Linked DNA regions of Mus musculus: regions 1, 2, 3, 4, 5 and 7 are each reported to be linked to region 6. Evidence: microRNA targets listed by miRTarBase, many of them from high-throughput screens and not tested one by one. Region 6 holds a microRNA gene; each other region holds the end of a gene's coding sequence.
Evidence for each region. Region 6 holds the annotated microRNA mmu-miR-467f (AUAUACACACACACACCUACA, at 2,003-2,023, shown strand). A microRNA usually pairs through its seed, bases 2 to 8, with sites in the 3' UTR of a target mRNA and lowers its output. Matches are read on the target gene's strand: a 7mer-m8 pairs with bases 2 to 8, a 7mer-A1 pairs with bases 2 to 7 and ends in A, and an 8mer does both.

Region 1 (4,301 bases), not on the chromosome of region 6:
AAATACTGTTTTAAGAAGTTAAATTCATTATGTAATTACTTATAGATAAATGGACAAAGAATATGAACAGACTATTCAAAAGAAGAGCCATATATGAGGAATAAGGATACAGTGATGAAATTAGAGTCACCATTAATATCTGATATGTCAAAAAAATACAGGTGGAGTGGTAGTGCAATGCATTAGGGGGCAGGGGTGAGACTGGTGAGTGAGCCTTGCCGAAACTGTCCATGTGTCTGGAAAGCCTTGCTTTAAAAGCAGCAGGTCTCTTACAAGGAGCCTTGAAAATGCTGCACCAATGGGCCAGAGAGGTGGCTCAGCAGGAGAAGTGCTTACTTCATGACACGAGTCCTCATTCCCACGTCTCTTGTCAGAGCAAAGGAGAGAACTCACTCCACAGAGCTGCTGTGAGCACGCATGCACACCATAGCATGTGCACACAGTCATGGTAAAGTGCAAGTGCATTGTGCAAGAATGCCTCTACTGAGGCTGCATCTTAGATAACTCCAGGAAAAGCAATACACACGGAGAGATGTACTTTACTGTTACGTACCGATCAGCAACCTTAAAACAGTTTAAGGATCAAAGAACAGCTGCCCTGGCTCACAGAAAGAATGTGTAAGTGCAGAAGATTTCTGCACACAGCAGTGTGTGGCCCAGAGCCAGCTCTGCCCTGCTGGAGACCCCGAGAGCCAGCGCTGCCCTGGTGGAGGCCGTGTATAGCCCAAGGGCGTGTCAGTTCTTAGAGCTAAAAATGTCTTCTTCTCTTAGGTTCGCTTTCAACCCTTAATACAGAAATAGCCAACACCAAGCTTCTACAGACCATCTGAAGCTACAGTGCTGTGCTGGGGGCAGTGTCACACGCTGTTTTATGACGTAAGTCTCACGGTCTGTGTTCTTCCCCCAGGCTCTCAGAAGCATGAGGAATTATGATCTCTGGAGGAAGATGGGAAACCCACCTTGACAGTTTGGACTAACTGCTGTTTTCTCTGATCTTTCGATACGACTGCTGATGAACGGATTGGGCAGGTGTACCACACCTATTGATCTGAGCATTGATTTAGACTACTGCACCCTAGTGGGTGCTAGATCCTTGGGGCTAAGGCTCTGTTGGATTTGTACCTCAGAGGAAGACAAGTGGCTGGTCTTCTGGGACTCTTCTTCTCACCAGAGGGAGAAATGCCGGCAGCAACTGCAAGAAGCCCAGTCCTTCGGTGCCCACAGCCCAGAGCACACACTGCTGTGCTGGCCCAGAAGCTGGGCAGAAAGGTCACCATGTTCTTCCTTACCTCAGTTTACCTGCAGCCCTTGCTGCAGTGCAGATGCCCACCCTGTACCAGGTCAGGCCGGCAGATGCTTCATCCATGCCTCAAGGTCTACGCCAACATGCTTCTCACGTCTCTTCCCCTCCCCACCCCCCTTCCCAAGCACTAGGCTTGTTGTTTAATGGAGCCCAACCAATAATCATGTGTCTTCAGGGTTGGCTCAGTGCAGTTGCTAAGCAAATCAGTCTTCAGGAGAAACGGGGTGGTGTGGATAAGGCTGGAAGAAATGGCAGGTAGTGGAGAGTGTTGGGGTGTTCGATGGAAGACAAAAACATGGGCCGTTCTCTTCAGTCTAGTACCCAGTGAACTGTCCAGGTAATTGTTTTGTAAACAATTTTTCTATTTATGAAAATGTGTGCTTTTTCTTCTTACTTTCTAAAAAGCTGTTGGTTATCAGTTTCCTGGCTGGGCACAGGCGTCCTGAGTCCCTCAGTGACCGCTCTCAGCGTGCTCAGCCTCCGTCTGGATGCACCATACTGTCTGCCCTTTCCCTTGTAGAGTTTTCTCTCAGACCCAGGGGATAACTTTGGGTGTTTCTTCCCCCAAATGCTCTCAGACCTGTGACCAGGAATGACTCTGTCTCTGGAACTCGGTTTCCTACACTCTGTCTTTCCCTTGTGCTTTGGCTCTGAGGGTCCCCTTTGGCTTTCGAGACTTGCCGAGGTCTGGTCCAGTTCTAAGGTACTGCTGCTGTCTGAAGCAGCACCCTTCACTGCTTTGTGTTCACAGCCACAGCCCAGCATCACCTCGGGAGCAGCCTGGGCTGAGGAGCCTTCCACGTGTTGTTAACCTGGCTGGACAGGTGTGGGTGTGTGGTGTCATCTCTGCCCAGGACTCAGGGATCTACAGCAGAGAGTTAGTGTTGCTGGGCACAGGGTGTGGCTCAGTGGCAGACAGAGTGCTTGTCTAGCAAGCCCAAGGCCTTCTGTCTGGTACTGTATCTCCCCAGCCCCCCCCCCCCAAAAAAAAAGACTGAATATGAGGAATGAGTACTGTGGGTAACTAAGTTCTTGCCTGTCCAAGCTAGGTAATATGTGTGTTACCATGGAAGAATGGCCTACAGGAGCCGTGGTTAGGGATTTGAGTGGGCAATTGTTAAGTAATAAGTAGAGACAGAAAACTGGATTGGGAATTCAGAGAACCAGCATTAACCCCCTTACCTCGTCAGCTGGAGCTCCCACTGAGAGTCCTGGGCAGAGCACAAGTGTCCCCTCAGGTCAGGAATCCACATAAGAGAACAAAGAGCAGCACTAAAAACAACATCATTTAGTTCGGTGCTCACGACACCCCAGAAACGAGCTGGGGGGCTGCTACCATCGGTCGGTCAGCAGGGTTTTCTCCCTCTCCCTCTGCAGGCGCTTGGGTAGCAAGGACAGGCTGTAGCGAGCCCTCTGACCTTGGAAAGGTGTCTGGGAATAAATTACTTCCCAGCTGTTTCAAGCGATGTATTTTGACTCTTGGATTATCAAAGTGTTTTGTCATTTGTCATAAAGTCAGGGAAGGGGCACACATCCCCAGACAAAGGGCCATGGAGGATACGTTTGAGACAAACATGTTCCATAGCTTCTTAGCTTAACTAGCCCTTGACATTTATTGATACAGTGTATATTACAACATGAATTTCAAAAAATAAAAAAATTACCACACATATATCAAGTAATATCTCCCCCCCCCCCATTTTCAAATCTAAAAGTTAGCTTAAGAGCCAGCCTTTGTTCAGGCTTCATGTCCACCCTGGATTAAGCTCTCAGGGCTGCTGCGCCCGACTGTGAGCGGAAGCTGTCTTCCCAGTGCCCTGGGAGCCTGGAGTGTTGAGCAGGAATAGTCAGTGCTCTGAGATGCTGGCCCGGTGGCCAGGGTCCTTCTCTTACCAAATTATGTGTGCCTCCTCTGAGGAAGAGGAAGGCATGGGTCTCCTATGGCCCTTTAGTCCCTCGTGGGTCACTACACTGACATAAGTCATATTCAGAGCTGATGCTGGCTAGGCCAGACCCTAAACTAAACCCTTCTAAAGCTGTCCAGGCCCCCCCTTTCCTGGTCCTTCCTTGCATCCTGTGGATTAAATCATCTCTACAAACTAAGCCACTGCCACAAATGGGCTGCTGCCGGCAAGTGGCCCTGGAAGGGTGTCCCTGTCAGATTTCACCTGACATTCTCACTACGAAAAAGCATGTTGTGACTGAAAAGAGAGATGAGCTATTCTCCAAGAAGCAGGAAGTGACTGAGCAGACAGGTTATTGAGGCTCCTGGAGAGCTCACCGCCATTCTTGGCCTGCGAATAAATGGTTCTTTGACCTCCTGTCATATAGCAGTAGAGTGTTTCCTTTCTGAATCACTAGGGTAGTGTGACCTGTGACAAGTCAGACTGTGCCGATGTGAATCCATGAAAAGCGGCCCTTGACTGGACCTGGGGCTGTGGGGCACAGCTCTCCAGAGTCCTGGGTTAGAAGTATCCTGGATGCACCCATGTCGAGAGTGGTAATGTGCTGGTTTCATAAGATAGTTGGCGTTGTTACCCGGGCAGAGGCTACATTTCTGGTTGAGCATGGTCGTCTCGGGGCGTGCATGTGTGCACCGTGCAGGGCCTGTCTGGTCAGGAGCAGACTTCATGGCAGGTATGTTACCTGGCTCTCGTCTGAGTTGCTGAAAGATGAGCTGAGAGCCCAGTGCTAAAGAAGGAAGAAAAGAACAAGCAAACAAACAAACAAAAAACAGGAAACAAACTTGACTGGCATAGTTTAGGACTGGTCAGATTTGGTCACCAGTATGAAGTCAACTCCTCTTGTCCGCGTGTCCTCCATTAAATTACCCTTCTAAAATTACCCTTCCTAGTTAGACCCGCATGCTTCAAGGAAATGATGCACCTGAGGCGTTGGGAAGGCGCTCACTCCCATGCACTTTTCTGGGGAGAGTTCATGGAAGGCTGCCTAGAGGGACACGTGCTGGCAGTACGGAGCACGACTTCTTAAGAGAGTT
Region 2 (4,301 bases), not on the chromosome of region 6:
CTTCCTCTCACCTCCAGAGGCAGCGAGTCCGCCATCGCAGTTCTGCCGTCTCCGCCCCCACGCAAGGTTTTCTGGGAAGTGTAGTCCCACCGACTCAGGGGGCGGGGCTTCGGAAGGAAATGAAATCCACTTCCGCCCAGGAGCGAACGATTGCGCTCTTTACCGGAAGTGCATGTGCTGCCGATGTGGTGTCTACTGACTGCAGTTCCAGTTACTCGCCCTTGTTTCAGTGGCTGGGTGTCTGCTGCGCACCATGGCGGTAAGGGACAAGGCGTGGTCTGCACCGGCAAAGCTTTCCCGATGTTGGGAAAGTAAAAACAGAAGGGCTCGAAGGCATAAGGCACTGGGCCAGAGAGGGGCGCCACCCAATGGACTGTGCTAGACCGAACGGGATGCGGGGAGAGTGGCCGTGCAGGACTACACCAGGACTAGTGTTGGAGGCTAGGGCGGGCGCGGGCGAGGGTAGTTGCCAGTTCCAGATCTAAACCACTACCCCAGAGGGACGCCATTAAGTTCCGCTGGAGTTTTCCCGGAGAGGATCTCAACCCAAAGCTGAACCTTACGAGGAAAGCCAAAGAAGATACTAACGTAATTTGAATTGTTTTGGGGTGAGCATTAGGCGATCATAACTGGGGGTACAGTAAAGTCGGTGTCCTAACTATATTAGGAAGATGGACTAGAGGAGTGGTCGGTATCTCAGGGATTGCTAGGGTTGACAAAGCACGCTAAGGACTTGGCTGCGGGGTAGATAAAGCTGCAGGTAACCAGGCTGGTACAGGGAGTGAGGAGGACTGAGGCAAAACAGCTCTGACAGCATCTCACCAACCCTCCGCAGCCCAAAGGAAAAGTGGGTACCAGAGGGAAGAAACAGATATTTGAAGAGAACAAAGAAACTCTCAAGTTTTACCTTCGGATCATACTGGGAGCCAACGTAAGTTGCTTGCCTTGTGCTTTCTCTGCCCTCTCATTCCTATCTGATTAGGAGCGCTGGCAAATGACAGCCAAGGCTCCAAAAGAGAACGTTGTAAAGAAATGAAGCCAGGCAGACACCAGCCTGTAATCCCTGCACCAGGGAGGCTCAGGCAGAAAGATGGGCGGTTTGAAGTTAGCTTTGAGTAACAAAGAAATCCTATCTCAAAAAAAAAAATTAAAAATAAAAATAAAAAGGGGTGATGGGGTTAATAAGTGAAGCTGGCCATAGTGGCATATAACTGTATTTCTAGCTATTTGGAAGACTGAGGTCAGAGTGTTGAGTGGTAACCAGAGCCCCACAGAAAGACTGAAGTCTCATTCGAGAGAGTGAGAGCAGGTGTAGCGCCGTGGTGGAGCCCTTGGCTAGGCTCTGCCAGCATCGCCAGCAAACACTGCCCTCCTCCCCCCAAAGTATCCAGGGACTGAGTGGTCAGAGCACTTGTCGCTCTTACAGAGGACCTCGGTTCCACTCCAGGGGCACCACATGGTAGCTCGAAACCTTCTCATTGAGTGGATCCAATGCCCTCTTGTGACCTCTATGGTACCAGGCACAGCGTCAGGCACATGGTGCACATAGATACATTGCAGGCAAAAACACTCATACATGTAAAATGTATTTTAATTTTAAACCATTTAAAAAAAAAAAGTAGCCAGGCACAGAAGAAATATGAACTAGACATAGAAGCAAAACATGAAGAAATGAAGGGGAAACAAAGCAAAACAACAATAAATAAATAAAAAGTCCCAGCTGAGATTTGTTATACTGAGGCCATACCAAGCTTATACATGTTATACTAAGGCTACTCTTCCTGGACAGATATGAGTCTAAGCGCTATCTGACTCAGAAAGCAGAGGTCTTCCACCACCAGGTTTCTTCCTCCTAGTCTGGCCCAGTTCTCGGTCAGAGTTGAGGAAAGCCCATAATTTGCGGGGTGGGGGGCTGGCCTTCAGCCCTAACCTGATCGTGTTTGTGTGCTTGCAGGCCATCTACTGCCTTGTAACCTTGGTCTTCTTCTATTCCTCTGCCTCATTCTGGGCCTGGGTAAGTATCCTGGGAAAGGAGTGTGCACGCGCGCGCCCGTGCATGAATGGTCAGTGGTGCCAGCCTGTGACATTCTCACTCTTGTCCTACAGATGGCCCTGGGCTTTAGCTTGGCCGTGTACGGGGCCAGCTACCACTCTATGAGCTCGATGGCTCGGGCATCCTTCTCTGAGGATGGGTCCTTGATGGATGGTGGCATGGACCTCAACATGGAGCAGGGCATGGCAGAGTGAGTGTCCCCCATCGCCAGCTCAGGTGAGCGGCCCCAGGGCTGGGGCGCTGGGGCCCACACAGCCCAAGACTCACAACTAAACAGTGTGGAAGGGGCAGGCCTTAGGGCCAACATACCATCCTTGGCAGCCTCCCTTTATCCCGCAGGCACCTTAAGGATGTGATCCTACTGACAGCCATTGTTCAGGTGCTCAGCTGTTTCTCCCTCTACATCTGGTCCTTCTGGCTTCTGGTACGTGGGCTGGAGTGCTGGGCCTCCCCACTGCTCACCAGTCTTTGCGAGTGGCCTCACGTGGTCTTTTCTCTCCTAGGCTCCAGGCCGGGCCCTTTACCTTTTGTGGGTAAACGTGCTGGGCCCCTGGTTCACAGCAGACAGTGGAGCCCCTGCACCAGAGCTCAATGAGAAACGACAACGCCGACAGGAGCGGCGGCAGATGAAAAGGTTATAGCATCCTTAACTGAGGCTGTAGGCTGCTGGGCACTGGTTGGCTCTGTTATGCTGCGTGGCCCCATGCCTGGAGCAGTGAGGGCCTAGTTTAAGGGCCAAAGCAGCCTGGATTATAGGATCACTAAATAAATAGTTTCGAATGTGGCTAACGGCCGTGTGGGTGATGATGCACGAAGCAGAAAGAATTTTAGTCTCGGGATGCTCCTGTCTTGGCTCAGCAAGGCAGAGATCTTTAAAGAAGAGAAAGGCTCTTATAGATTAGCTAGGTAAACTTTATTTTGTTCCAAATAAGGAACTCACACATGCAAAATACATGTACGTGTATACACACACACACACACACACACACACACACACACACACACACCTAATACTGTTCACAATACTGGTTTCTGGGTATAAGCTTCTGAAACCAGGTTTCTGTTCCAGGCCCTTTCCGCACTCCATCTCTTGTGCATGTCGCTGTCATGTCCAGGCGTGGTAGCACCTCACACCTCTAGACCAGGAGCTTTGCTTAGTCCCAGTGCCTGCACCAGGTCATCTCCAAGTCCACTCTTCAGTGTCCGTCTCACTGCAGGGACAGAGCAGGGTTACAGGGGCGGGAGAGGGGGCAAGGGGAGGTATGGGGAACATCTTGCAGCTTAGTAAGGGGATGCTCACAGGACTTTCGGTTGCCACGAGAGCGCTTCCTCTCCCGAGCAGCTAAGGCTCTAGGACCGCTCTTGGTAACTGACTGCACCAGCAGGTCCATTATCTCATCTGACGTGTCGGTGGGTAAGCCGGAGGCTGCAGTCTCCTCAGGGGATGCAGCGGAGGGCCCCACTGCTGTGTGTGAGACGGGGGAACTGCTCTGGACCATACCTAAGGGAGAGAGCAGAGGGAAATCAGACAAAGGTGGCTTTAGAACACATTCCCCTAGCAGCAGCTGTGAGCCCTACCTCTGCTGCGTCGGCTGTGTGTGGCATCTTCCGGCCTGCTGGTAAGCAGGCTCTTCATGCTGGCATGATTGTCAGTATCACCCTGACCTGGCCCGCTGCCCACAGCCACTGGGACAGACAGGTTATTGGGGGCCTCCCCAGCCACACCTGAGAACTTCTCTGTCTAGACAGGGAAAGAAGGGTGGTTAAGAGCAAGGGGAAGGAACCATGAGGTGGCAGGCAAGCCCTGCAAGGGGGTGGGCACTCACCTCGGTAATCATGCGACCACGGGTCTTGTTGCGCTCACGGTATGTAGCCCGCTTCTGCTGCTGCTGCAGTACCCGTTCCCGACAAGTCCGATACTCAAGGGCAAACTCTCTCAGTGTGTGGCAGAACTGCATGATGCGTACATCCCTTGCTGCCTGTGGGGTGTAGCCCAGGTAGAGCAGGAAGGCATGGAACCTAGGCAGGTTGGAAGGAGTGGGAGACTGGATCATGAGTCTTCCTGGTGTTTAAGGGATGGTGGTGGCAGTCCTACCTCCCTCTGGCTCCTGGCCCCACCTATTGCAGACTCGGCGATGCACTACTCTTAACATGGCTACCCGGCGGGTACACTGGGCCAAGAAGTGGGTGAGGCGAGCACGCAGAGCTGGGGAGAGCTCGTGCTTAGCCAAGCTCCGGAGGCTGTCCT
Region 3 (4,301 bases), not on the chromosome of region 6:
AAACAGAATTCAACGTGTATCCACAAAACAAAATTCTTACCAAAATAAATTCAAATGTGCTTTAAGAGTCCTGAAGATTCTGAAAGTTTCATGTATTTAAAATTGAAACTGCTTTAAAAACTAGGTTCTTTCTACATTTATTCATTTACAATTAGGGCATATTTTCATTCGGTTTCACAGACTTGTCTCAAAAGGAAAATTGGCTGAAAAAAAGAATAAAACAAAAAGCAACAACGACAAAAAAAATATACCACCACCACCACCGCCACCAAAAGAACCCACATTTTTCAAACCTTTAGTGATTCTTGAAGTCAGTAATGTAGATGTGTAACATCTAAATTAGCAGTGGAACAACTTCAATACTCAACAAAGTATGCATGGTTAAGTTTCATATTTAAAAAAATGTGTCCAGTAATGCCCACATGGTAAATTAAAAGCCACCTCTACCCTCCTGGCTGAATGGCTACTTTATTGATGGTGTGTGCTTACAGAAAGACGGGAGCACACACACGATACTGTAGAGAACACATGCCAGAGGGAGAGACTAAGGAAGGAGCTCCTGGCAGCTTGCTGAATCAAAGATGCTGAGAACATTATCTGTCCACAGCCTATTAATCAAGGTTGGCAGGGCTGGGGAGTGAGGTCGGCCTAAGGAAAAACGACAACAACGGGACAAAGTGACCATGCGCTTTTTCTTTTAATGCAGGAGATAAAGTGGTGTGTGGCTCTAATAATTATTCAGGGTTGTGAAAGTCTCTGACTGAACTTGACCACATGCAACATTTTAGAACGTCAACACTGAAGAAGTGAACTCCTCAGTAAATGGAAGGAACTAAAACATACAGACAACCAAACGGCTTGTTCTCCCGTGGGGACATGACCAAAGCCACAGGGCATCTATTCCTCCAGTTACCGGCTCTCCCCTTAGGCTGGTACAAGGCAGGACACCGAAGGAAAGTGACCCCTCTATAGCTGGCATGAAGAATGCAGAGAGCTGGTTTAAACTGGATTATTTTAAGTTTGTAATTCAGCATCAGACACAAAAAACTATGCATCAGTATCCTAAAACTACTAACAGTAACCAAAACCAGACCAAACCAAACCAAAAACACCCAAACAAAACCAAGAACAAAGAAAACTATTCATTTTACCTCAGTTAAAATAATGTTTCCTATTGCTATGTTAATAGAAACACCTCAAAATTTCAGTGATTTCCACTATAATCCCAATTTAGACAAATTATGGTTATCTGAAGTGAGTCTAAATTAATACAGTAATGAGAGATGGTAGAACCTGTATTCATAACACCAGATGAATTTAAAAACATAACTATTTCTGGTTTTAACTGATAACAAATGTCTTGTTTTATTGCGAATTGTTTTGTGACTCTAACACAGCCGTTTCTGTGTGGAACACACATGCGTAGGGGAAGACGATGATGTTACTCACACGCACTTGTTTATAAATACATATATATATACACACACACACACATATACATATCAACACCAACTTTTTTCAAAAATTCAAGTCGACATTTTAGTAGCAGAGAGACTATAAAATAGATATTATTTTTAGATGCCACGCTGTCATGTGAACCACTTCCTTTATTATACAACTGAAGACACAGTCATCATGACTTCTACCTGGATTAATACCTACCGGTCCTTCTGTTATGGATGCAAGGCTTGAAAACAAGTTTACCACACACAAAGATGGTCCTTCCACAACTCTGAAAACATGAAGGTGGGACATAAAAGCCAGTGCAGGAGCTGGTGATGGTGTGCCCTGGCTCTCTGCAGTTACACCTGCATCCTCCATCAGTTGCCATCTATCTCCCACTGTCAGAGCATGCTTTCTTCTCTGCGGACTCTCAAGTATGAGAAGTATTTTTTCCTTCCTTTGACCCTTAATCACCTCCTGAAACAAATTTTAATATATTTACATATTCTGCTATTGAGAGTAGGTGAGACCAATTGGTTCTTGAATTTAAAAAAAAAAAGGCTTCCTATGTCATGCTTTCACTAAAGGTGAAGGAAAAAAGAACACGGCTAAGAAAGGAAGTATACTCGGAGACAGAAAACCAAAATAACTAAGGTTATTTTTGAGTTTCAACTATTTATCAGATAGATTTGGTATGGATCCACATGTGGGCTGTGCTGTACTGTTAACTTTAGGATAACCGATTCTTTCTTTCCTTCCTTCCTTCCTTCTTTTCTTTCGGTGGAACGGAACGACCTCTGCCAGCTCCACACCCCACGGGGCTACGGGGGTTCTTTCACATCCCATTTTGGTATGAAGATCCTCAAGGAAAACTTGTTACCCTGTTGCCAAAATGCAAGTGCTCACAGCCTTGGATTACATACAGAATACTGGCAATTCAGACTTAGAATCAACAGAAGTGTATTGTCATTCGAGGGCCTGCCCACAGACTGCGCATCCAAGCAGCGTTTGCTCCAGCACTTCTGGGAAACACACTCGTAGAGGGTAGACAGCAGATCACAGAGGATCTGGGATGGAGAACATGCACCTAGGGAGAGTTGAGAAAGATGCTCACACAAGAGTGATAATAACCAAATGCAAACTGAGGAGGAGGGGCGAGTGACGACAGAACAGCACATACAGGTACACAGGCGCTCTTGCGCGCACGCGCGCACGCACTCACGCACACAAGCTCTGTCTTGAAAACAAAGGGTATGCAGTAAGATAGACGAGGCTCATAACTTAAGGCTGGTAAAATCTACGCACACACAAACAGAATCCAAGTCTGTCACTTTTAAAAAATGGAAATCAAAGCTATCCCAAACCCATCCCCACAACAAAGCCCACAATTTAAACCTCATACATGCAATTGTTTCCGTTATTGCAAGAAAGATAATGCCATTGAAGTAAAATAAAACCCAAACCACAGGACAAATGGTGAAGTCTTCAGAATCCAGAAAAAATGAACTGAAGGTTTGTGGGTGCTTGTTTTTTCTTTTTCTTTTTTCTTTTTTTTTTTTTTAAACAAGTGTTTTATCAGACAGGCAGTCTTAGATTTATATACAAAAGTAAAACTGAAAATATAGTTTTGTTCTCTGTACATTTCTTTTAATTTTTTTTTCCCTAAAAAAAAGGAAAAAAAAAACCACGCTTGTATACTTTTCTAAACAGGATAAGGTAAAACAGAGCATAGAGTTCTCTTCTGCCAAGTCATTTAATCTGGGATGGGGTGGGAGCAGCAGGGTGAGAGCGTCAGTCCAATGAGATAATGTCTGGTATGATGCCAAAGATGGACGCTGTGTCTGCGCTGCTCCTGCTGGCCACACCATGGCCATGGCTCTCTCTCAGACTGTTGGAAGACACAAGGCTGCTGTTGCTGCCGCTACTGCTTCCGTTGGTGGCTGGCAGAGATGTGCTCCCTCCTGCACTTAGCTGGTCGAGAAACATCTGCGAGGAGGTATACGGGAAAAACCGGGAGGAGTGCAGGAGGTCCTGGTCATCTGAGACCGCCGCTGCAGCTGCGGCTAGCAGGGAGGTGTTGTAATGCTAGGAGGGACCAGAGACAAAACACTCTGTTACAATCAGATGCACCTCGGCGTACTCTTCTCAGCAGAACAAGGCTCCTCAAGTGACAACACATTCTGTAGTAAACGACTGGTCACTATTACTGAGAGCGCTTTGGCATGGTATCTGAGACTGGAATGACATTTTTGATTGTGTGTGCATGTAGTTTGTATTGCATGCAGTTCTTAGCCCTCTGTTTCTGAGGTGTTCAGAAGCAGTAGGAAGGATACATCCCACATTTCCAATGGCAAGTTCAGCTTGAGAACTGTCTCACAGCTGCTCAGCTGCTCCCAGGCTGGGCTGCAGCTCGGTGCAGCCTGCTTCTGCTCTCAGCACTGTAGGTGCTGGGCAAAGGGTTTGCGCACATGAACATCTCTGAGCTGGGAAGCGCAGGAAGAACTTGCTGTAAAAACCAAGCAATGTCCCACCTGCGTGGGGCACTCTGAGTCGGGTGTGCGGAGCTGCAAGTCTCTCCGGGTCAGGGAGCACTGCGGAGTGGCTGTGAAGGCTGAGGACAGATCTGTGCACTATGTGGGCTTTACCAGCACTCTGTGCTTAGACCATTCTATATTTATTAAAAAAAAAAAATCCCAAAGCTATCTTTCTTTAATTTTACTTTGTTTTAAAACATTCATAACATACAAATTAAACACAATGAGTTCTAACATTTTCACGTGTATATGTCTTTTAACCATAACCACTTCTACTACTTTCTCTTGCTCTTTCTTCCCCTAGCTGGTCTCCTTCCTTTTCCA
Region 4 (3,000 bases), not on the chromosome of region 6:
GACAGATAACGAGAGATTGGTTCCTAATGACGGTGCAGACTTTCCAGAGCACAGCTCCTATGGGAGAAATTCTCTGGAAGATAATTCCTGGGTATTCCCAAGCCCTCCTAAATCAAGTGAGACAGCATTTGGTGAAAATAAAAGCAAAATCTTACCTTTATCCAACCTGCCGCCACTGCATTACCTGGATCAACAGAATCAGAACTGCCTTTACAAAAGTTAATTTCACTTGTGATTTGATCAGGAAGACACGGACTCAGGGGTTCTCCCAAGAGATTGTTCAAACTGAAAGTGGACTTTGATTGATGGCTTGTGCAGTTCTCCAGTATGTACATTTGTACATTCTGTATAACATTATATATGTAATTGATTTTCCAGTATGGGAACCTCCAGTTGTACCTTTGATAACAATTATACATTTTTGCTTCTTGGATAGAGTGGAAATGAAAATTTTAGGCATGGTTTTATAAAGTATGTGACCTGCCTAAATATCCAATCATTAAATAAAAAGCAGCCTTTAGTATAAAAGAAAAAACATGTCTGCTGGTTTAGATTGTATCAAGAAGCAAGTAAGAGTAGGTTGAGCTTCTGTAAATTCCTGATACATAAAGATTTGAAATATAATGGAATAAAAGTAGGTTATGACATCTCTATGCTATTGTTTCAAGTTTTAAGATTTAAAATCATTTTTAAGTAAAATGTTTGTATATACAAATTTAAAGTGCAATTTGAATTCTAAGACTTGAATTAATGACTATTGAAGCCAACTTTTTCCCAGTATATTTAAATCCTAAATAGTTAAAAATGATGTGGTATGTGAATAAACTATTATAACCTTATACAATGTCCAGTTAAAAGAAGAAAGAGCATCTCACAGGGCAGTCTCTTCAGTGATGTGTAGTGAACCTCCCGTGTGGTCATTTTCAGCAGGACAGCTATTTGTTTTACACAGAGCAGCTTACACACTGTTAGATATGACATTTGAGAAAGTAAATGCTAATTAGCTGCATCTAGAACTAAATCTTGTGCTGTACAATTGTGAAATATCCCAACTCATTCTAAGTGCCCAATCACTTGTAAATAAGTAAAGAAATAACAAAGATGGCTTCATGTGGAAATTCATCTAAATTTTTTCAAGGTGGAAGCATTAAGAGTATTAGTAATCATGTATTACCTGTTTGATGTAAGAAGACTTTATCCTTTTCTAAGTGCCATTTCATGTATCTTGAATTCAGAGGATCTCTGACCTTGTATCACTGAATAGAATGCATAGCCAGGCACTGTTCACTGTTGAGTTATCTCAGTCACTTACTCATGCCTGTCCGTGATTAATGGAATTGATGTCAGATACTGGAATGTGTTCTGACCAATGAACACAGCTGACTCGAGGGAGTACAGGCTCCTGCCAAGTAATACAACAAGACCCAATATGCATAAAACAAATACACAAGCCCAGGCTCTAGCTGAAGGCACTAACTGACTGTGTAATAAGAAAGCAAACGCAGTTCTCGTGTGACTGCGGAGGCTGTCCATCATCTTAGGACTGATGTAGCTTAATGGTTTGCTTTTTTTCAAACCAAGATGAGAAGTTTTCTTTTGTAAAGAGAGTCTTATAATGTTTTTGAACAATGCCAAGAAATTGTTTTAATTAAAATTATTTTTGTTTTTAAAATGGAATTGGATGTGAAATACTGTCCTTGCCTATGTATATTTCCAAAGTCTGGTATTAATTTTATTTCTCCAACATACTCTGAATGGAGGGAATCCCCTCTAACTAGTAGTAACCGTTATCAAAAAGGATTGCTAGAACAGTCTGATGGGTGTTAACAGTCAAAGTGTTAAAAGCTTGTGTAAGACTCCTTAGCTAGAAAAGAGAAACCCTAAAATATTCTTACCTGGTCAGAAAATGTTTAAATATATACTTAGTCAATGGTAACAGCTGTATTTTGTGATTCATTAAAATTGACAGTCCCGTTGGTCCTTTTCATACTAGCTGACAACCCCAACAAGCTTCCCTAAATCTAATTAAGCTCACCTGTAACTCATTAATATTAGGACACAACCGACAGTAGCCACATGCTCCTTCCTCTTGGTCCTTTATTGTATTGAGCCAACGCCAAAATAGAACTGCCCCATGAACCTGTAAAAACCGGGGATCCAAAGACACATCTGCAGCAGGTACACTAGTCAGGCAAGCGGTGAATGGGAACACAGTTTATCTAGTACCTACTGGTTTCGAGACACACAACAGAAATCTTGTTACTATGTCACTGGCTTCTTGTAGTAACTGTACCTTTTCTTTGAGTCACTGAAAACAACTGTAGCCCTGTCCAATAGAAATGTGCCAGTGCCAACAAGGCCAGCGCAGAGATAATGGGCTGCTTGGCCTTTCCCCGTGCTGCAGTATCTTCCTGAGTTTGCTCTGCTTGGCCTCCAGTCACCTTCTGTTGATCTGTGCTTTGGGAGAATGGGTTCTTTGAGTTTCAAACAAAAGTAAAGTAGTTCTTTGGTGAGTACACTGTGAAGCTTGAACATGCATTCATTGACTAGGTTCATTTCATTTGAATGAGAAATTTTTTTCATAGGATTGGAGCCAAAGTTAAATCTTGCCTTCCTGGTTTTTTTAAAATAGTTTTTAATATAAAAAGCTCAGACTAGGGTAACACACTAAAAGAGAAACTTACCACAGTTCCTCCCAAACCCCCAATATCACAAAACAGAAGTTCACACTAACAATGCCAACTTCTTAAAATCCAAGATTATACAGTATTTTCAGTAGCCAAGTTCAAAAGATCAAGAAACAATGCAGAAACTTTTCTGTCAAAGGTTTCAGTAAAATAATTCACCAAATCTCATCTGTTTTCACATAAGCCTCTGATGGCAGTGCTGGCTAAGTTATCGCCGTAAGAGACTGCTGGCCACAGTGGCTGGCACACTAAGGGGTAGAGTGAAGAAGGCTCTGGTTCACTGCTGCCGTTAGCAGTGTTGAAGGCGCTCCAT
Region 5 (4,301 bases), not on the chromosome of region 6:
CTGTCCCTGCATGAGGGCGCATGCCCAGATCTGCTCTGTGAAGTGCCTCTCACTCTGGCTTCTGTTCTACTGCCTGCTTCTTCTCCTCCAGGCTTGCTCTGGCCTCTGCACAGTTTTTTGGTTTTGGGGGTTTTGTTTGTTTGTTTGTTTTGTTTTTGTTTTGTTTTGTTTTATGTTTTTTTTTCTTTAGAATCTCATGGGTGGGAATCAAGGGAGCTAGGAACATTGTGGAGGCAGATTCTGATCTTGCCTTGTCTCCAGTCCAAAAATGGACGCTCTGAGCATCTCTCAGGGAGTTCTTGGATTTCCCCCACAGGGACGTGGATGCAGTGCTATCTCGGGCCAATGCTACAGAATTTGGCCTGGCCTCTGGTGTCTTCACTCGGGATATCAACAAGGCCCTGTATGTCAGTGACAAACTGCAGGCGGGCACTGTGTTTGTCAACACATACAACAAGACCGATGTGGCCGCACCTTTTGGAGGATTCAAGCAGTCTGGATTTGGCAAAGACCTGGGTAACGAAACCCTGTCTGTGGGACTGCTTTCCAGCAAACACCTGTCAAAGGCCACCAAGGGCCAGGTCTTGTCCCCAATACTGGGGTGTCACACTGATCAACACAGCTGGTGGCTGGTCAGTTCTAGCTGGGAGGGAACACTCTTGGGACTGATGTACTTGCTGAGACAGCAGTGGAAAGGATATGTATGTATAACATATTCTAGTCACAGGAGGACAGGAGGATAAGTTCTTGGCTGCCAATAGCCAGTAGGGCATCCATACCACCTCCTCTACCATCAATGTAGCAGGGAAGATTCTAGAATGGTTGCCCCAGATCATTCTCCTGCCTGCACTGGTGCCCGAGCCCACAGCTTACTACAGGGATGGCCTGGGTTGGGTGCATGATTTCCTCAGGGCTTGGTTTCTCATCTGTAGAGAGCCAGGCTACTCACAGGTGTGTTCCCCGGAGGGGTCCCCTGCACACCCATAAGGTGTCCCAACAGTGGGTGCTATCTTGCAGGAGAGGCGGCCCTGAATGAGTACCTGCGGATCAAGACTGTGACTTTTGAGTACTGAAGCCAAGACTGTGATACTTCTCCTGTACCCTGTTGACCTCAGGGAGTGCTGACCCTGTCTGGTGACTTAGCACCCTCCTGTCCCCAGCACTGCTCCTTTCAGCTGCTGGAGCTCTTGGCCTGGACCCCTGCTGGTGACAGGACACCCTCTGAACAATCAGAAGTGGCTCCAAGTGGAGTGAGCAGTCATGTCCCCCATGAATAAAAATTGTGAGCAGAGGTCGCCTACACTTTGTGTCACTGCTCTGTCTATGGATGCCTCGTATGGAACCAGAGGCAGTGGTCACCATGAGTCCTGAGCATGTAGCATCACTTGGCCTTCAGAGAACGAGACCCCTTAGTGGGACACAGGAGGAAATGCACATCACACACCTCCAAAAGCAGAATGGGTACAAGAGGCTGTGGAAGAGGGTGCGCCCCAGAAACAGGAAATGAGACTTGGGGAGTGAGCCTTGGGCCATCAAGCACCCCAGTCTCCTCTGCCAGGACCCGGGTTCTCACTCAGTGGACTTGGACAGCCACAATGGTAGCCTGGGGTCTACAGCAGGGACTCCACCCAGCCTGACATTTCCCTGGACAGCACTCCCATCTTCTACCATCTGCATTTCTTTTTATCTTACACCACCCCAGCCTGGAGCACAGCCCCTGCAAGGCTTCTGACTCCTATGCACTCACCCGTGGGTGCCCAAGGCCCTCTCCTCTGTACCTTCTTCATTCTGGAGGTCCCACATACCACATCTCAACAGATTTGCTATTGCCTTGGTTTACCCAACATTCTCTTCTTGGCATGCCAACCACTACCACCTTTCTTTGGCTCTGCCTCTCTTGGTCCAAAATTCTTTAAAGGCCTTTCTGTTCTTCTCTAACTCCCCTGGCCAGGCAGGCAGTGACCTGGATCAGTCGCAAAGATTTCAGGCCTATGTAGTATCCCGGACTTCCTCCGCATCCCTGCCCTTCTCTTAAGTGGGGCACATGCCTCAGAGTAACATTTTCGTCAGTGAGAAGCCACATACCTAATATTGATTCCAGAGTAGCAAATCTGAGAATTCCTACCACCTATGACGTCACAACTGATGTGATGTATGATGTCACAAGCGATGTGACATAAACACTTCATCCTGTATACGTGATGGGGCCGTGTAAACCCCACCACATGGCTGTTGGAATAGGAAACTGGGTGGTCACAGTGACACTGTCACTGGCCATGTGTCCACTAAGTGATAATCGGTGTATATGGTTTTTTAAAAAATATTTATTTTATTATTTTTTTTGTCTCTGTGTTTGTGTTTATGTGCACGTGCACGCAGGTACCAGAAGAGATCAGAAGAGGATATAAAAGATATCAAATCAGGGTTACAGGGAGTTGAAGGCTGACAGATTTGGGTGGTGGGAATCAAACTCAGGTCACCTACAAAAGCAGCAAGCTCTTAACTCCTGAGCCGTTTCTCTAGTCCATTAGTGGAGTGTGTGTGTGTGTGTGTGTGTGTGTGTGTGTGTGTGCTGAAACCAGTTACAGTGTTATACCTGCAGCAACCTTATCTGTCTGGTGTGTGTGCAAGATGTCCCTAGTAGATCATGTTCAGTGAGTGACCTTGACCATCTAGATTATGAGAGTTTACTCTGCTGTGACGTGCACAGTGACATTGCCTGACAGCAAAGCTCTTGGACCTTATCCCAGTACCAAGATGACATGGGGCAGTAGATTGTGTGACTCCCACATGTGAACACTGGTAGTAGCAATGGTAACCACAATAGCTTGTCGAATGTTGCGTGCCATGCAGGCTTCTAAATCCTCTCCACACATTTGTACTGCACATGCTGTAGTCCAGTGAAGGACTAGCCCACTGAAGCACAGAGGCCAGCTTGCTCAGGGACCTGCGGCTGCTACGAAGCTCCTTTTCTCCTCCCAAACCAAGAGACCCTTGAAGCCCTTGATGCGAAGTGACACAGAAACCCGGGTCCTGAGTCTCTGGGAATATCTCTGAAGCCTTCACTTTCAGGCCACAGCTATAGGACACCAGTTCCTAATGGGAGATCCAGACCATGCCCTCTACATGAAAGCTCTATTCCATATAGAGGGTAAAGTGGGCTGCTCCCCAGGGCTCCCTGCACCTAGGCTGCAGCCTCTCAGAGGTCTTCTTACAGGTGTCTGTGAGGTTTGTTCTTGGTCTGTGTGTGTGTGTGTGTGTGTGTGTGTGTGTGTGTGTGTGTGTGTGTGTGTGTGTGTGTGTTGGGTGGCAGGGTGCACATCCGGCCTTTCTTCCTGATGCCCGTGGAAGGGAAAGATGTGTGTTTACTTCCACTGCCCATTTTAAGGCAGGATAAGGATGTAGCACTGTAACACTAAACCCCACTCTGTCATTCCCAACGGCCACCTCCCTCCTTTTCCAGAACCTTTTCATCTTGTAAAGCTTAGGGATTTTTCTGCCTTTAAACACAGGCTTTTCATTCTCAGGTAAGGCAAGCTGAGTCTGTGAGCCCAGGGTTCACGTTCAGCTGGGCTGGAAATAGAAACATCCCACAGTCTGCACCCTTTACCACATGCCCACAGCCAGCTAAAGGGGGGGTAGCTCAGTGGGGGAGCAGTCATGCTGGTGTGTGGGGCTCTGGGTTCTAGCCTCTTCACCTGTGTTTGCACATACACGTTAGTAATCTGCAGTTGTTATTCTACGCATTGTATGTATCTTGCATGTGCTCCATGTAACATTTAAAATATGCCACAAGGTTTGGCCTCCGTTCTGACATTTCTTCATTTCACATCTGCTGCGCCCCCCTCCCCACCACCACCAATGAGATCATTCAGGCCCTTTGCAAGGTCCCAAGGAGAAAGATTTGGGTCCTGTGAGGAGACCCTGTGCTCTGGCTCTCCCAGCTGCCCTGGGATAACCCCCGCCCCTTGCCAGCTCCTCCTCGTGTGCAGTCAGCTAAACCTATCTTTAGCATCAGGTCAGTTTCCTCAAGGCATCAGGTCAGTCCTGAGAGGAGGGGGTTTTAAGCTCCCTGGGTGCTGTCCCTGAGGACTGCAGCAAATCAGGTCTGCAGACGGCAGCAGAACTTACATGCAAGCTGTCCCCACTGTGGCCCCACAGGCCGATCAGCTGCTCCTGGCTCCCACCGTCCTCCTCCAGACAGAACAGCAACAGTGCTGAGGCCACCGCAGAGTCCACACTGACAAGTGCTGTAAGTCGTTGTCTCTGAAAGTCAGTCCAGTGTCAGCTCAGGACCTGTA
Region 6 (3,000 bases):
AGAAATATATAGACAGTGTCTCATAGATAGGTGGATGGATAGAAAGAAATAATAAGTTGCCAGATAGACAGAGATAGAGAAGGAAGGAAGATAGATAAGAAGGAAGGAAGAAAGGAAAAATAATAGCTGCCAGGTGGTGGTTTTTTTAATCCCAACACGCAGAGGCAGGCAGATCTCTAACCAAGCCAGCATGGTCTACAGAGTGAGTTCCAGGACAGCCAGGGCTACAGAGAAACCCTATTCTGGAAGAAAAAAAAAAAAAAAAAAAAAAAAACACTAGATAGATTAGATAAGGGGGGTTTGGCTAGAATATAGTTCCGTGTGATGTGTGCCTAGCAAGTATAAAGCCCTGATTTCAATCCTCAACATCAAAAGCAGTAAGAAAGCCAGATGCTTCAAAAAAAAGGCTAACAATATTCAAGGACCAGCCCTAAGTACAGTAACTAGGATAGTGGCAGAGCTTAGGAGAAAATGTACCAATAATATTCTAGAGAATACAGAGTTCCCACCTCACAGACCTGGCCAGTCACCACTTACAAAACTATTCTTTCCTTATAATGAGAACATCTAACCCTGAATATTGCTTCAGATACGACCTGCTTTGGCTGTTTGGGGGGAGCCTGAGGCAGGAGGGTCTAAGAATTGGAGGTCAGCTTAGGCTACGTGCTAAGTTTCAGAGTAACCTGAGCTATCAAAGTATAAAAATCCTGTCTCTATATGGGGAGAAATGTTTTTAAAAATGAAAGAAGGGAGGAAGGGAAAGGGAAAGGAAGAAAGAAGGAAGAGATCGGAGGAGGGCTACCTGGCTGAGGATGTACTTCAGTGGAAGGCTAAGATGAGACCTCAAGTTCAAGGTTAGCCTTATCAACAAAGCAAGGCTATACAATAAGACCCCATCTTAACAGGTTGGTGGTGGCCTAAACCTTCCAAGGCCAGCCTAGCCTACAGAGTGAGTTCCAGGGCAACACAGGATATCCTGCCCCCCACCCCAAAAAAAAACAACAAAAGACAGAGGCAGGCGGGTTTCTGAGTTTGAGGCTAGCCTGGTCTACAGAATGAGTTACAGGACAGCCAGGGCTACACAGAAAAACCTTGTTTCAAAAAACAAACAAAAACAAAACAAAACACATTATGAAGCTGGGGTTGATGGTGTGCACCTGTAATCCCAGGTCTTAGGAAAGGCCACAGTAAACCAGGAGTCCAAGGTCATCCCGGGTTAAAAGCCCAAGCCACCTGAAACCACCTTAACAAAACACATCACATCCTGACAGAAAAGCCAAGTTTGATAGGATAATTCTAAAATAACTTAGACCTCAGATCTGATATTTACTGGCTCTAGAAAAATCACAGTAAAACAGTTTTGTGAGAGGAGAAAAGAATCTCCCCAAACGTAAAAGATCTAAAAAGTTAGTATCCCTTACTCACACCAAAGTTTGCTGAGTCATAAATATTAATCAGCAAGGTTTGAATAGGTAAGTATCTACATTACACTTAGGCAATGTCTTTAACTCAGTCATGGAGCAGAAAGTGCTGAAGTGGCCAGAATACAAAATCTACACTCAATATTTGGCTTTTATTAACTCTATACTATCAAAGAATCCTGTCCCTGCTTCCCTCAAATCTATCACTGCTCTGGCCCACAGAATAAAAGGATAAAAGAGAGACTTTCTGTTGGATACCCATATGTGTAACAGAATTCATGTCCCAGCCCAACCATGTCATACAGTTAATTGGAACTGAGCACTCATCTGTCCCAGCTGTGCATGGCTCCTGAGCTTCCTTAAACCAAATGCAAATATCTTATCTTGATCTCATACTCAATTTAAGAACCACTTTTCAAACTAAGAGTAGTTGTGGATGCTTTTAATCCCAGCACTCAACAAAGGCAGACCTATCCCACAGAGTTTGAGTTCAGGGCAGCCACGGCTACATAGAGAAATCCTGTACCCAGAAATCGAACGGGGGTGGGTGTGTGTGTAGGTGTGTGTGTGTGTATGTATGTATATACACACACACACCTACACACAGCTTTTTTGGAATTTTTAACATTTTGATGTTAGAAGGATACAGATGAAGACTAACATATCGAGGAAAAGAGAGCATAATAAAGAGTACTTTTTGGGTTTGTTTGGGTTGTTTTAGACTGGATTCCATTCCCCATGCTGGTTTTGAACTTCAACAATCCTACTTTAGCCTTCTAAGTACTAGGGTTAGAGTATGTACCACCATACCCAGCCTGAGGAGACTGTTTTAACAAAGGTAATACAAATGTGGGTGAAATAGATATTAAAACATTAATGTGTCCTCTCAGAAGCCAAAAGAATTAAAGACTTTTGCTACAGAAAACAGAAATGTTAGAGACACTGTTCTGGTCTGAAGAAAAAGTACCAAGAGTTAGGAAAGTGACAGAATCAGCTAGGAGCCTTCTTCAGCTATACACAGACTAGACAGGTAGACATCATCAAGGATACACAGGAATACAGAAATACCAAGCTAAAAAGACCGAGACTTAGTTGAGAAGCTGCATTAAAGCTAATAGGTATGTGCACCCATAGGCACTGGGTAAAGAACTTGATCAGAAAAGGGAAAAAAATGGCCTGGCCTTTATAATGGATAACTAGCATATCAGTTGAAGTGAGGGTAGGAACCATCTACAGGGGTAGGGCAAACCTAAGTCTTTTTTCAGCTACAAAAAAGATACAATTTCATAGTAGAGTCAGAGAAAGTTATTTCCAAGGGCATAAGAAAGTAGAAGTTCTACTAGGGTAGGGGGACAGACAACCTGAGGAAACCTGAAGAAAAAGGGGCTCTTCTCACCCATCTCATGCTATGGAAATTCCTCTTTCTCTCCAGGATGAAGAGTAAGAGAGGGACCAAACGTGTCCGGGACAATTCCACTCATAAAAGTCAAAAGATGTTCAGAACCCCACTGATCAGAAGAAGAAAATATCTGGGGCGTGGGATCCAGAATAGACTCAGGACAGATACAGAAGATGGGGT
Region 7 (4,301 bases), not on the chromosome of region 6:
CCCCCCCCCGCCCCCCTCCCCAGGATGAATCCAAGAGTGGCCTCGGGCTGCTGGGAACAACTGCTCCTTTGAGTGAACTCTTTTATGGATATTAGGCAAACAATTTCTGTCAGCAGGAACTGGGAGGCATCACTGAGAACATGCATGCACGTGTGTGTGTGTGTGTGTGTGTGTGTGTGTGTGTGTGTGCACTTGCATGTGTGTGTGTGTAACTTGCACGCACAATGCCGGGCATCTCATCTCACTAGCTCCATCCTTGGGAAAGGCACGTCTTCTTGGCAAGAGAGAGGAGACACTTCCCTGAGCACCTACAAACAAATCAGCGAATCATTAACCGACTCATGGTGACAACGGGCACCTTTGTCCCTCTCCTCCCGCACGCACGTCTTTACTTGGTTTTTCTTTGGGGCTAGGATTCTGGGTTGTTTCGGTGCCTGTCAGGTTTGCTTCTCACTCCTCACTCCACCTGCCAGAGCTTGGTTGGGCTCTGTGGGCCGAGCTCTCAGTTTCTTGCCCCCTCTTTGTCCTGTGAACTTTCTGTGCGATTTAGGGAGTGCCTTGCTGGGGCAGTTAGTGAACTCTGCATCAGAGAAAGGATTGCAACGGAAAACGCAACCTTCACAGGAAGCACAAAACTTGCTTCTTAAACTACAGCTGGGTTTACGGTCCCAGCAATAAATCACTGAGTTTGTGGCTTAAATTTCCTGGCCTTCATAAAAACAAAAGCAAACCACAATTTCATTAAGAGTGCCCTCTTCTTCAGCCTAGGAGAAGGGAGGGACCAGGAATAAACACCCGGGAGGGGCTTTGCTGAGCTTCTCTCAGACAACCCCTCTCCCATCCCAATTTAGAAACTGGAGGTTGCTATTGCCTGGTGGCCAGAGTCAGTCACTCCCCACTGCTTCTGCGCCTCCCAATCCTGCCTGTTAATGTCTCTCATCTCAGCCTGAGGCGCCGGTGCCCTGTAAGGTGAAACTGGCCAACTTCCTCTACAGGCTGAGCTAGCCCAGAGGCTGGCAAAAGGTCACAGCAGGCGTCACCCCCAGGGATCTGCAGACAAAGGAACTGACAGCTGGCTGGTCTCATTGGTGTCAACTCAGAAGGACTGGGTAGTGTGGCCACTTCTCCCCCTCTTCCAGTTTTCCCAAGGTGCTTTTAGCACCCTACCCCAATCTTTCCAGCAAAACCTTCTAGCATGGTACGGGACTCTGAACCCGGCAAGGAACAGACAGTGATTTCCAAATCAGGTCCTGAGGATCCAGGAAACAAGTTTAGCTTAAAGGAAACCACTGCTGATCTGTATTTGAAACCCAGAATCCAGTCAGTGTGCTGGCAGGCCCCAGGCCCCAGGCCACACTGCCTTACTTCCTCCATATCTGGGGGCCTCACAGACATGGCTGCTCTCTGGATACATTTACCAGTTTTCCAGTCTGTTCTGTCCTAGGTGTGGTTCCTGTGCTCTCATTCACGCTAGGACAAGATAGATGGCAATGTTTATTTCTGACCCCTGTGAGACAGTCTCATGTTCTGCGTGCGTGTGTGTGTGTGTGTGTGTGTGTGTGTGTGTGCATGAGCGTGCATGTGTGTGTAAAACCTGCCAGTGTGTGTGTGTGTGTGTGTGTGTGCAAATTTGCTAGTCTGGCAAGAATGAATATATTCTAAAGGGACACCCGCGATCCTCTTTGACTATAGACTATGGAAACAACCAATCTCAGAAAGTTAAAATTTCCCCAGGAGACCCCAGGAGGAGAAGGAAAAGGCTGAAGCCCTGGGGTGGGGGTGGGGGATGGAGAGGGAGGGAGGAGAGGGCTGGAGGAGGAGTTTACTGGAGAGAGCATCACTGCTCCTAGGAGAGACTTGGAGCTGAGGTAGAGGTGAGCAGGGAACCGCCCCTGGGCTGAACTGCTTGGCTATGCAGTCCTGTTTTCGACTTGAAGGACCTTGAAGGCAGCCTGTGGGAGGCAGGAGAGACTCTTGAATCTTTCTCCCTCTTCCCAGTGTGGCCACATGGAAGAATCTGTTTTTTAATATTAATTTGGCTCTTTTAATTGGCTTATGAAAGACTGGAGGTCAAACCTGGTTTGCTAGGGCAGAGGCTGTGAACTGATCATATGTGCACACCAATGTATTCCTGCCTATATGAGTTTGCAGTATGAATGTTCACGAACACAGAGTCGTGTGTGAGAGTATATCTGGACACGTGTGTGGGCATTCATAGTGTACACTGTCTTCCAGCTGCTTACAAAGACGCAGCCCTTGTAGAGAGCGTTGTCAGCGAGCTGCACTTGAAGTTTAGAATCAAAAGCTTTTCTAAAATGTAATATTTTTTTATTAAATTGGGAAAAGAAAGGTACAATACAGATGACTATCAGTCAATCATATGGTACTTGGCAATTCCATCTTAATGGATTCACAGTCCAATTCAGTTCTCTGTACAAGAATTAAAAAAAAAAAACCACCTCAAGTATTCGCATAATCTGTCAATTTTTATTAACTGGGTTAGGGGAGGGTTTTTATCAGAGCACATTATGAAAACATTAGGACATTACAGACAGGCGTGAGATAAGCGTCAGACCGAACAGATGAAGCAAGTCCCTCAGCCATCTGAGAAACATTAATAATGAAATAGTGCAGAAACAAATCTTTGTTAGGGGTACCGGATGCAAAGGGAAAAAGCAGAGATCCTGGCGCCCCCTTGTGTTGCAAAATGAACCTGCACCTTTATTTCATTTTGCTGTTTCCCTTTTGAAGTTGGGAATTCATGCCCTTGTCCCTGTGCCCCAGAAGTAATTGTTTCCCCAAATCCTAGCAAGCCCTCTCCAGCAAATCACTTCCCCATTCACTGATAACTTCCAAGGACCCTATTTGAAAACCAATTCTTGCCCATTCTTCTTTACAGCCCACACATCCTGTTCCAAAAGTTGGCAGACGCCCAGCGTAGATGCCTGCCCTGAGTCCTCCTTCCCCCAAGTGTGAAATGAAATAAACCAGTCTTCCCTTCCCCTCTTCAGGCTTAGAGGATGTGGCAAGAGTGGCTACAAATCCAGATATTCTTTGTCTCATAAGCACTTTTCTTCTGCATCTTACTGGATACCTGCCATTTTTTCATAACTTAACACAAATGCCTTTATCTACCTACTTCCTCCCCCACCTGGCACTCACCAGCTCCCTTGGATCAACTGGTCAACCTGCTAAGCCATTTTTACACTTAAATGCCAGGAAAGACTGGACCAGAGACGTAAATAATACACCTCGATCTACAACAATTCAGGTTGAAGTTGTAGGCAGAATTTCATTGGCTGACCAGAAGAAGAAGAAGAAAAATATATACACAGTGTGGGTCTGGACAGTAGATGGAGTGGGAGGAGAACCCAGTGGGAACTGGGTGATTTTGTTTACTTGGATTTTCCAACTGGTCCGATGGAGACCGGGTCCGTTTGCACCTGAGCATCCGACATCCGCTTTGGTCCCTGGAGAAAAACATAAAGCAGCCAGCGTGAGGCCAACAGCAGCGAGGGGGACTTATCACGTGCTTATTCTACGTAAATATGACAGTGCTCATGGGCGGATGTCTAGCTTTAATACCTAGCGACGTTGCTTCCTGGGTTTGTGAAATCCTAGACACATTATGATTTGATTTTAAAATGGGAGTGCTCAAACCCAACTCTGAGAGGTGCTCCCAGATAAAGTGTGCTCAAAGTGTGACACATATTAGAGCAGTCCTGGGGTCGGGGGTCAGGGGTCAGAGGCCAGGGTGGGACTTGCTATTCTAGTTCATTCTACATCCCTAGCCACTGTCAATAGCTCATTCTTTCAGGTTCTAACAAAATGGTGCCCTGATTTGTTCCCCAGCACTATCTGAAGTGACCTTACTCTGTTTGACCTGACATCCTCCTCCTCTGTGGGTTCAGTCTGCTGCCTCCTCGGGACCATTCGAGTGCCCCGGCATGTGGAGGTTGCACCTCACTACTGTCCCAGTGTGGCAGGTGGATGCGTGCAGTCTTGCACCACTACTGTCTCACCCTTTCCCCCACGGGTTGCTGTTGGTCATGGTGTTTATCACAGCAATAGAAAGCAAACTGCAACAGAATTGCAGCTGTTACCATGACCTCAATTTGACAACGGGGGAAACTGAGGCACGAAGGGGTTGGGTTGAGTGACTCAGCCAAGGACACAGAGCTAGGAGGCAGCCAGAGCAGAACTGCAGTGGAGTGGCTTGGCAGCATAGGTGTTTGGTCTTGCTCTCCTCCACGCTGTCCCTGCTACTATTTAGATCATCCTGTCCCCCACACCTGGCATCT

Region 1: the mRNA of Uggt1 is a reported target of mmu-miR-467f. Seed matches in the 3' UTR shown: 7mer-m8 at 2,927-2,933.
Region 2: miRTarBase lists Fhod1 as a target of mmu-miR-467f. Seed matches in the 3' UTR shown: 7mer-m8 at 3,016-3,022.
Region 3: the mRNA of Pias1 is a reported target of mmu-miR-467f. Seed matches in the 3' UTR shown: 7mer-A1 at 1,611-1,617 and 7mer-m8 at 1,477-1,483.
Region 4: miRTarBase lists Azi2 as a target of mmu-miR-467f. Seed matches in the 3' UTR shown: 7mer-A1 at 346-352.
Region 5: the mRNA of Aldh1l1 is a reported target of mmu-miR-467f. The part of its 3' UTR that is shown has no 7-base or 8-base seed match.
Region 7: miRTarBase lists Bcas1 as a target of mmu-miR-467f. Seed matches in the 3' UTR shown: 7mer-m8 at 3,327-3,333.

What each region holds. Positions count from the first base shown.
Region 1 is chr1:36,140,858-36,145,158 of GRCm38, reverse strand. It overlaps Uggt1 (UDP-glucose glycoprotein glucosyltransferase 1), which reads left to right. Exons shown (of 41, transcript NM_198899.2): 41 at 908-4,301. The coding sequence ends at 933. It overlaps Mir6897 (microRNA 6897), which reads left to right and starts at 846; the gene lies at 846-907.
Region 2 is chr8:105,326,216-105,330,516 of GRCm38, forward strand. Fhod1 (formin homology 2 domain containing 1) reads right to left here. Exons shown (of 22, transcript NM_177699.4): 18 at 4,172-4,301; 19 at 3,880-4,072; 20 at 3,632-3,794; 21 at 3,354-3,554; 22 at 2,945-3,264. The coding sequence ends at 3,182. It overlaps Tmem208 (transmembrane protein 208), which reads left to right and starts at 162. Exons shown (of 6, transcript NM_025486.3): 1 at 162-259; 2 at 836-931; 3 at 1,955-2,014; 4 at 2,107-2,243; 5 at 2,393-2,477; 6 at 2,557-2,842. The coding sequence starts at 254. The coding sequence ends at 2,694. It overlaps Lrrc29 (leucine rich repeat containing 29), which reads right to left and starts at 53. Exons shown (of 7, transcript NM_001368408.1): 1 at 12-53. The coding sequence starts at 35.
Region 3 is chr9:62,878,734-62,883,034 of GRCm38, forward strand. It overlaps Pias1 (protein inhibitor of activated STAT 1), which reads right to left. Exons shown (of 14, transcript NM_019663.3): 14 at 1,344-3,528. The coding sequence ends at 3,235. Among named protein-coding and RNA genes, the nearest start is that of Calml4, 23 kb to the left of the region's middle.
Region 4 is chr9:118,061,904-118,064,903 of GRCm38, forward strand. It overlaps Azi2 (5-azacytidine induced gene 2), which reads left to right. Exons shown (of 8, transcript NM_013727.4): 8 at 1-3,000. The coding sequence ends at 223. Cmc1 (COX assembly mitochondrial protein 1) reads right to left here. Exons shown (of 4, transcript NM_026442.3): 4 at 2,619-3,000. Among named protein-coding and RNA genes, the nearest start is that of Gm51660, 10 kb to the right of the region's middle.
Region 5 is chr6:90,597,870-90,602,170 of GRCm38, forward strand. Aldh1l1 (aldehyde dehydrogenase 1 family, member L1) reads left to right here. Exons shown (of 23, transcript NM_027406.2): 22 at 317-516; 23 at 1,018-1,302. The coding sequence ends at 1,073. It overlaps Gm15756 (predicted gene 15756), which reads right to left and starts at 2,071. Exons shown (of 2, transcript NR_157234.1): 1 at 1,748-2,071.
Region 6 is chr11:69,634,442-69,637,441 of GRCm38, reverse strand. Mir467f (microRNA 467f) reads left to right here and starts at 1,923; the gene lies at 1,923-2,042. All of the region lies in intron 1 of Fxr2 (fragile X mental retardation, autosomal homolog 2), which reads right to left.
Region 7 is chr2:170,344,679-170,348,979 of GRCm38, forward strand. It overlaps Bcas1 (breast carcinoma amplified sequence 1), which reads right to left. Exons shown (of 13, transcript NM_029815.2): 13 at 2,313-3,470. The coding sequence ends at 3,396. Among named protein-coding and RNA genes, the nearest start is that of Gm39999, 9.2 kb to the left of the region's middle.